Callithrix jacchus: one gene and its partner. The protein of the gene in region 1 purifies or fractionates together with the protein of each later gene. This does not show direct contact. Links are inferred from orthologs where the notes say so. Each region holds a gene or a part of one and is shown in the gene's direction. Other genes may lie near its edges. The genes, in order: POLR3E and POLR3B.

Region 1 (4,390 bases):
TTGGTCTGACCTTGTCTAGGTCCTGCTCCTAAGGTGTGAGAAGGGAGTGAGCAGAGGTCCTGCTGAGCTCTCTGTCCCCAGCTGCCTCTTAAGGGGAGCCAGCTGGCAGGGTGAGGATCTAAAGAGCTGGGTCTTTTCCTGAGCAAGCTTGGGTGCTTTTGGCCAGAACAGAGGGCATCAGAAGTACTTTGATAACCAAAAGGAAAAAAGTAAATGCAGATTTTTTAAAAATCAAAAGCTTTTTCCCTGACAACTGCTAACAAAAGTAAAAGTAAAAAGTGTTAATAGTAAAGCTCTTGCACCGCCTGACCTGACCGCCACTCCTAGAGGTGACCACTTTTATTACTACTTTTTTTTAATGGAAACGGTCTATGTTGGCCTGGCTAGTCTTGAACTCCTAGCTTCAAGCAGTTCTCCTTCCTTGGTCTCCCAAAGTACTGGGATCATAGGCATTTAAATCACCAAAAGATACCACTAAAAGAGTTGTCCCATCTTTTAAAAAAAACCAGCTTGTTATTAGCAATGGGCCTGTCACTGTCAATGAGATTTAGCTCTCAACTATTTTAGGAGAATGTAGAGATGTAAAGATAAGTTATGCCAGTTTTTTTTTGAGACAGCATCTGGCTCTTGCTTTGTCATCCAGGCTGGAGTGCAGAGGTGCCGTCTCAGCTCACACCTCCTGGGTTCAAGCGATTGTTATGCATCAGCCACCCAAGTAGCTGGGGTTACAGGCTTGTGCCGCCACACCCAGCTAATTTTTGTATATTTAGTAGAGATGGGGTCTCACCATTGTTGGCCAGGCTGGTCTTTACACCTATTTTTTAGTTTAATTGGCTATCATTGTTTATATATGGCATTGTCATGGAATGAATTGAAAATCTGTTCATTTTAAGGCCAAGTATCAGTAATATACAATGATTGCATTTCCTTATTCACTGCTTCCTGTTTTCACTTGTCTAATGTTCTGAACACGTGTATTCTGAACACACATACCAAGGGTGATAACTTTGCTTAATTAAGCTAAGTTCCCTGGAAGCTTCTCCAGTGAGACTGGCTTTTCCCCATGTCTGTTGCTGAATTCTAGAATCTCTGCTTCTTCCTTGCTTTAGCTTCTAAAGAGGAGTTGTCTGCATTCTTTCATGTCTTAAACTGGCTTTCTTTTAACCCTCATGTATTACTATTTGTTACTATTGTAACTTACCTCTTAAAATTCTAGGCCCAAACAGTAATACATGAAGCATCTTTAAGAGAGTTGTCCATTAAGTTTTCAGAATTGGTCTTTTAAATTTAGCCTATATTCTTTCCTTTATCCTAAACTGAGGAAGTTTTCATTATTCTATATATCAGCGCAATTTCAGATGTGCTCTGGTGTGGGTCATTACTGTACTAGACAATTGAGTTCTTACAAAATCCTGTTAATTTTTTTTTTTTCAGAATTCTTATGACAGATATTAGACAGTGAATTCAATCTTTTGTATTTGATTTTTATTTTGGGGTGTAATGTATTTTATGGCATCCTGTTTCATGGATGCATGGCATGTTTGCGTTTTCACACCAGTTTTGACACACTCTTCTCATCTCTGGGCAGCTTACCTGCTAAGTCAGATACACTCCTGCGTTTTCCCCTGCAGAAATATGTTTAAGCCACTCATCCTCTCATGTCTTTTCACCAGTTCTTTTGTTGTGCTGGCATATACCTTTATTTTTATTTATATTCAAGTTTCCACACACAGCATTACTACCTTTATTTCTGTACACTGGCATGCTGGTTCTCTACAGATGACTTGGCTCATCTTTAATCAGGAGTGCTGGGTAAGGGTTTTATCAGAGACTGCAACACAAAGTTAGGTGCATGGCTTGGGTGTCTTGTTCGGGGATGGTTCTCTTTTTAAATCACTGTTTCCCATAATAACATGCTTTTGCTACTAAAGCATCGACAGGTTTTGCTTGAAATTTTTTCCAAAAATTACCGAGTACGCCGAAACATGATCCAGTCTCGGTTGACTCAAGAGTGTGGAGAAGATCTCAGTAAACAGGAGGTGGATAAAGTCCTGAAGGTACATTCGTTTTGTGCATAACAAACAATATCAAAGGCTCTGCAAGGGGCTGACAGCCTGTAGAAAGGACTCGTGTGTATATGAAATCAGGCTTCCCTGGGACCCCTCCCCAGTCAGTCAATGATTGGCATTGGTGGGAAGAAGGGAGGGGGTATGTGCAAGAGGACTGACCCCTTCAAACAGTATAGTCACAGGGGAAAGTTTATAGCCATGAGTGCTTAGTTCCTCTTTCTGGTTGGGCCAGTGAGGCCCCTTTCTCATCCCTCTCTTCTACTTACCACTAGAGACAAAAACTAAAAAACATGGGTTCAGGCTGCTAAAACAAAATAGAATAACAAAATAAGGTGGGTTGGACAAGCTGGGCAGTGGGTTGGCATCTTCTAACATGACAGGGCCTACCTGAAAATCCTCACTCCACTCCCCCTTGAATTTTGGACTATTTTGATTGTTGCCATAGCCATATATTACTTTCAGTAGAATCCATTTTTAAATTTAGTTTAAAAAGGAATATCATGTTTACTATATGAAAGCACCTAATGTACAACCTATAATGCTTTTCTGAACTGACTGTAGTACAAATACCATATTTGCAGCAACACTGCGACAGAAAACTGATGACAATGTCTTTATGTTTTGATCTATTTTTTAAGCACCCTGTTCTGGGCATGTCAGCATTTGTATCTTGTAGGCCCTCACTCTTAAAATACCCCTGAGAGGCTGGTAGTAACCATGGTGGTTGATTTCCCATTTGTATTCTGTTCACTAATCATTAATCAAGTGTTGATACTGTGGACAGACTGTAGTTAACTCCCTTTCCTGCAAAAATCTGCACTTACTCTGTTTCTCTACTCATAGGACTGCTGTGTAAGCTATGGTGGCATGTGGTACCTTAAAGGGACAGTACAGTCTTGACAGTAGTAGCAAACCACTAACGCAGCACATCCAAGCCCAAGTACGAAGGGCGGAACCAGAAGTAGAGCCTCGACTTGCTTCAGACAACAGAGCAAGAGGAACTGACCATCTCATGGTGCAGTGGACAGAAGGGATCATCCTCAGCCAGTGGCAGGCTCAGTTAATCACTCCCAGAAGAGACCAGCTGGGACCTTCTTTGCAGTACAATTTGAAATTCCTGATGTATTTTGCTTATTATTTGGTTTCATTCTCATAATAAAGAGAGTGTATACTGACATGGCAGGATGATAAAAATCATGGTTTAAGATTTTTTTTTTTTTTTGGTAAACTTAATGCCAACAAGGTCTAATTATGTTTACAACATGAAGAAAACCTCAAAAGTTTTCAATTTTTACAATGCCTAGAAGACAATATTTAGTCTTGGATTATCTGCTAAGACCTCCACCGATTTCATTAGACCAAATTGAATTGCTCTACTGTTGGGATTCTGTGGCCACTTTACCTTTGACAACAACCTACGTTATGTAGCAGTCTCAACTGTTTACACGAACCATAGCAAAAAAAATTAGAATCAAATCCATCTCCTCTTAATGTTTGCAGAAAGATGCAAACAAAACCAGGTAAGTATGGAACAATGTGTAAGTGAGGTTATCATACTTTGATGTAAAAATTTCTATTTTGTGTATTTTTAAAATAAATGCTAACACTAAACTAGCATCATGGTGCTATCTTCAAATGGTTACAGGAGGGCGATCTTGGACTCAAGCGTTACATGGATCTAGAGGGAATGGAGCCAGTGGAGGGAGAAAGAGCAGCACCATCCACTAGGAATGGGCGAGTCACACAATTTTGAAAGTTTCTAGCAGCCACATTAAAATAGTTTAAAAAGGTAATATTTTAGCATATTAGCCCCAAATATCTAAAACATCAACATTTAGCAAAAATATTAATATTTTACCTTTTTTTGTATCAAGTCTTCAAAATCTGGTATTTTACACTTTCCTCAACACTGAATCTGTATAGGGTTCAGCCTTACAGGGTCCCATGAGTCCCTCTCTGCTGGTGCGGAGACGAGAAACTGGAGATAAGAGACACAAGACACCAAGAGAAAACAGAGTTTGGGCCCAGGGGTCCATTGCCAGCCAAAGTGCGAATCCAGCAGTGGCCCGAGTGCCTGGACGCTCTTTTATTTTAGTACAAAGCAGGGGGAAGGGCAGGTAGGATGAGGTAATGGTGGTCAGTGATAGGGTCAGGTAAATAATGCATCTTGGAGACGGGCTCAAGAATTTGAAGAAGCTGAGGCGAGGAGAAAACCTAAGGTGTCAGCACTTTTTTCATACTTGTCAGGAAATAATAAGGTCACTAAGATTTGTTACTAATTCTTACCTTCTAAAAAAAGAGGAACAAGGTGCAGAAGTAGA
Region 2 (4,517 bases), on another chromosome or scaffold:
ACAGAGTAAGACTCCATCTCAAAAAAAAAAAAAAAAGCAAATTTGCAGGCCCCAATTTACCAATCAGAAAGCTGAGATTGTTTTAATAAGCTCTCCAGGTGATTCTGATACACCCTAAAGCTGGAAAACCTTCTTGATAATGGAAAACAAAGACGACTTTGGCACAGACAACCAACCAACACACTTGAGCCAAACTTGAGAGCCTCTGCTATCTATAAATCACTTTCACAGTCCCTTCTAGGCTAGATGCTACATTGGTTGCAATCTGGTAATGCACAAGAATGAGACACAAGTTGTATCTTGTCGCTGTAATAAGTAAATTATAAGAACTTCAAAGGCAGGGTTCATTCTACTGTTAGTCTTTTACCCATTCTTTTCATATTTCAGATATCAGCGCAATGTTTAGAAAATACAAGCACTGAAATTTAGGTAGCTTATTAGGAAATAAGAACAATTAACCTGGTGCAAGAGTTCTACCTTTATGGGGGAGAAATTGGAAAGCCTATATGTACTTGCACATTTTCATAACTTTTCTTATAACTGTAAAATATACATAAAACTTAGCATTTAACCATTTAAAATGATGTACAGATCAGCAGCATTAAATACATTCACATCGTTGTGCAACCATCACCACTATCCATCTATAGAACTTTTGCATCTTCCCAAACCGAAACTCTGTACCCATTAATTATGGTGCATTTTGTCTCGTTTTTTTCTAACAGGATTTTTCTTTCTATTGATTTGTATGAGCTCATTTTAAATTAGAGAGGCCAGCCCTTTGTCATCTGCCAATTTGTTTTTTGTTAATTCTATTCGTTTTTAAAAATATGTTCATAGAATCACTAAATCAGGTTTAGAATATAAAATCCTCTATGAATTGACTGTGTTGCCGTCTTGAAAGCCTTCATCATCTCAATGTTATGAATATATTCACTTACATTTTCGTCTAAGTTTTTGTTAACATTTCAATATTTAAACCACATAGGATTCACTCAGATGTATTTTATCCCCAAATGGGTAATCAGCTCTTCAAACATCATTTACTAGACAGGCCATCCTTCCCCTACCGTCGTAAATGTCATCTTTTCATACTAAATTTCTCCATGCGTTGGTATATACTCGTACATCTTCCATTTAGTGCTTCTGAGAATTTTCAACACTATTCCATTACACTCATGTACCATTTATTTAACCAATCACCTTTTATTAGGCACCTTTTATTAGTTCAAGTTGCGTAAATTATGCGTTTACACATTTCTTCGGATTACTTTTTAAATGACAACCACTGTGTTTTGCTGGTCTCAAGCATCAGAGAATTGGCAAGAAATCTGACAGCTGCGGTTTAGAATAACCCGCGCCAGATCTCCGAGCTACACCAGAGGGCGCAGTTTCCCGACTCGGCTTCGGTCACATCCGGGTTCCACCGCAGATTCGAGCTGGGAGCAGGCGGAACCTTTCTGCTGCGTCTCTAGCCAACAAGCACGGCGGGGACAGTTTAGGCCTCCGCGCACCGTTCCCCGGGAGTCTTGCAGTTTGCTTGGGGCAGGGAAGGCGTGCGCGGAGGTTTTATCTGTTTCTGTCTCCTTCGTGAGCAGTATGGACGTGCTGGCGGAGGAGTTTGGGAACCTGACGCCCGAGCAGCTGGCTGCGCCGATCCCTACTGTAGAGGTGAGTGCCAGGCACGCAGGCAGCGTCAGCGGCCGAGAGGCGCCTTGAGGGGGCGTTGCCCAGAGTGTTCGGGCCGGCAAGGGGGCGGGCTTGCGGTTTCTGCGCATGAGCTGGGGTTCTGCGCATGAGCTGGGGTTCTGCGCATGCTCACAGCGTCCCGCGTGCTAGTCTTCACAGCCGGACTCCGCGTGCGCGAGTGAAGGCAAAGCCAGGAAGAGCTGTCAGCCGCTGCTGGGGTGGAGCTCTTCCAATATAGGTGTGCGTGGAGAGCACTGGCCCTCGCACTTACTTTGGGGGACGTATTGCATCTTTTCAGTCTTATAAAGGACACTGAGGGCCGGGGAGCTCAGGCCATTTGCATGAGGGACCACAGCTGGCTGTGGTGGTAAAACCAGATCTTCTGAATTCCAGGCTAGTCATCTTTCTTTTTAACTTGGAGTTCAAGTTGGGGTTGCAGGGGAATTTTAGTTCTGAGTATTTACTAAAGAATTATGCCTGTGTGTTTTCTGGGGGAAAGGCTCCATACGTTTCCTCAGATTCTCAGAGGTTAAGGACAGCTGTCCCACAGCGAGCTGCCTAATGAAGTGTGGCTGTCGACATATCTTGTTTTCTGATAAGGCACATGTTATAGTCTCTCTGAGCCTCAAATTCTGCATTGACGTGGAATAGGGAAGTAGAGACATGTGACCAGAGAAGATAGCAAGGGAGAGATTTCAGGGAGAGAGAACAGGATACTTGAAACCTCTTAGGCAAGACCATTGGATGTTTTTGAGGAAGGAAAGTAAATCCAGTAGTATTCGAGTGAAGAAAAATAGAGGAGAAGAGATAAAAGATGGGGGTTAAGTAAGGGTCTTGATTATGAAAAGTTTGGATAAACATCTGACAGGGCTTGGACTTTGTCTTGGAGCAAAACTTTTGAAGGGTTTAAGCAGAATAGTGACATGATCAGTAAATCTGTCAGATTAATAAGAACCTCCTTGGCTAGGTGTGGTGGCTCATGCCTGTAATACCAGCAGTTTGGGAGGCCGAGGCGGGTGGAACACTTGGGCTCAAGAGTTGGAGACCAGCGTGGGCCACATGGCAAAACCCTATCTCTACAAAAAATACAAAAATTAGCCAGATGTGATGGCATGCACTTGTCCCAGCAACTCAGGAGGCTGAGGTGGGAGAATCACTTGAGCCTTAGAGGTCACGGCTGCAGTGAGCCATTACTATGCTACTGCACTCCAGCCTGCGTGACAGAGTGAGACCTTGTCTCAAGGAAAACGAAACAAAACCTCTTTATACTTTGACAAGTTAAGGAAGTTGAATTAGCAGTTCATCAGATTCAGTCTATGTGTGCATGCAATAGGCTGCTGGATCATCATCAGGCAAAATTGTACTGGCCGAGTGCGGTGGCTCACACTTGTAATCCTAGCATTTTGGAAGAACAAGGCGGGCGGCTCTCTTGAGGTCAGGAGTTCGAGACCAGCCTGACCAACATGGTGAAACCCCATCTCTACTAAAAAAATACAAAATTAGCCAGGCTTGGTGGTGCATGCCTGTAATCCAAGCTACTTGGGAGGCTAAGGCAGGAGAATTGTCTGAACCTGGATGGTGGAGGTTGCAGTGAGCTGAGATCGCGCTGTTGCACACCAGCCTGGGCAACAAGAGTGAAATCCCGTCTCGGGGTAGGGGAGAAAAAGCCAGCCTTCACTGCATTAAAAGCCTGGTACGTGGTTAATCTGGAACATGGACTCTTGTCAGTTTGACTACAGAGTCTTCATCCTTAACTGCTAATCAGACTGCCTCTCCAGAGCGCTGAAGAAATAAGCCTGGGAGATTTCTATTTCTTGTCTGAATTTACACAACTATGAAGTGATCAGTGCCATAATTGCAGCCTTCTGATTCAAGAATAAAGATTCTCTTCTGGCACTCTCCACCATCACCTCTAAAAGGTCTTGAGTTCTTAATCTATGCATGTCTGAAATCTCATTTCCCACTGTTTTCCAACCCAGAACCACTCTTCTCTCTTACCTCCAAACTGGCCTACTTGGCACCTGACTTGTCCCAATCCAGTCTGTTCTTTGCTCTGCAGCAGAGCTGTCCATTTAAACACACAAACATGATTATATTGCTCCCTTGGTTAAAATTCTTCAATCTCTGCCTGCTGCTCTTAGGGCAAAATACTAGTGTTTACCGCGTTTGTAATACATTTCTGCAGTCTGGCCACTTCTTACTTCTGTAGCCTCCTTTCCCGTGATTCTCTCCGTCTCTCCCATGAGATCTTTCTACTCTGCTCACACAGTTCCTTCTGGATCTCTCACCCATTCCTATTTGTAGATTAAGTCCCACATTTCTATGATATAACTTCCCTAGGAAGGCCTTTTGTGATTCTACCAGAAGATGGTAGATCTCTGTACTTGCTGCCATTTCCTTTTAAACTGAGATATTAAAATATTTATTGAAACTTTCCGACGTCAGTGTTTTCTCTGAAACTTTTTCTAGATAGGAGCTCAGTTTTGCTTGAACTGGCCATGCCTGGTGTGTTTTTTTGTGCTGAGGGTAGCACAGCATCACGGTAGTATGATAGAAGAAACAACACAAGCTTTGCAACCAATTGATCACTTATTTGTTGAATAAATATTTGTCATTATTACTGAGTACTTACCTGGTGGTGTATTGTTCACAGGGTTTATACAAGTTCAAAAAATGTGTTTCCTGCCTCCCAGTGTGTTACAGGCTTATAGAGAGAGACATGTTAGCAGGTGGAATAACGTGTAGTAGGTACTGTGATACAGGTAGGAGAGGGATATGTTGGTGTTACAAATGGTAGTCAGCATGTGATACCTGAACTGAGTTTGCCA

The links.
Region 2: the proteins of POLR3E (region 1) and POLR3B purify together in Homo sapiens (affinity purification with mass spectrometry; 8 studies listed by BioGRID and IntAct, counting the BioPlex papers as one, with this or other methods). This does not show direct contact. The link is inferred for Callithrix jacchus from reciprocal best matches to the Homo sapiens genes POLR3E and POLR3B.

Annotation. Positions count from the first base shown.
Region 1 is NC_133513.1:22,920,691-22,925,080, forward strand, and holds the end of POLR3E (DNA-directed RNA polymerase III subunit RPC5), read left to right. Parts: intron 1-1,931; coding exon 1,932-2,057; intron 2,058-2,912; coding exon 2,913-2,969; 3' UTR 2,970-3,681; downstream 3,682-4,390. UniProt on the Homo sapiens protein: DNA-dependent RNA polymerase catalyzes the transcription of DNA into RNA using the four ribonucleoside triphosphates as substrates.
Region 2 is NC_133510.1:109,224,652-109,229,168, forward strand, and holds the start of POLR3B (DNA-directed RNA polymerase III subunit RPC2), read left to right. Parts: upstream 1-1,524; 5' UTR 1,525-1,599; coding exon 1,600-1,671; intron 1,672-1,837; exon of another isoform or gene 1,838-1,927; intron 1,928-4,517. UniProt on the Homo sapiens protein: Catalytic core component of RNA polymerase III (Pol III), a DNA-dependent RNA polymerase which synthesizes small non-coding RNAs using the four ribonucleoside triphosphates as substrates.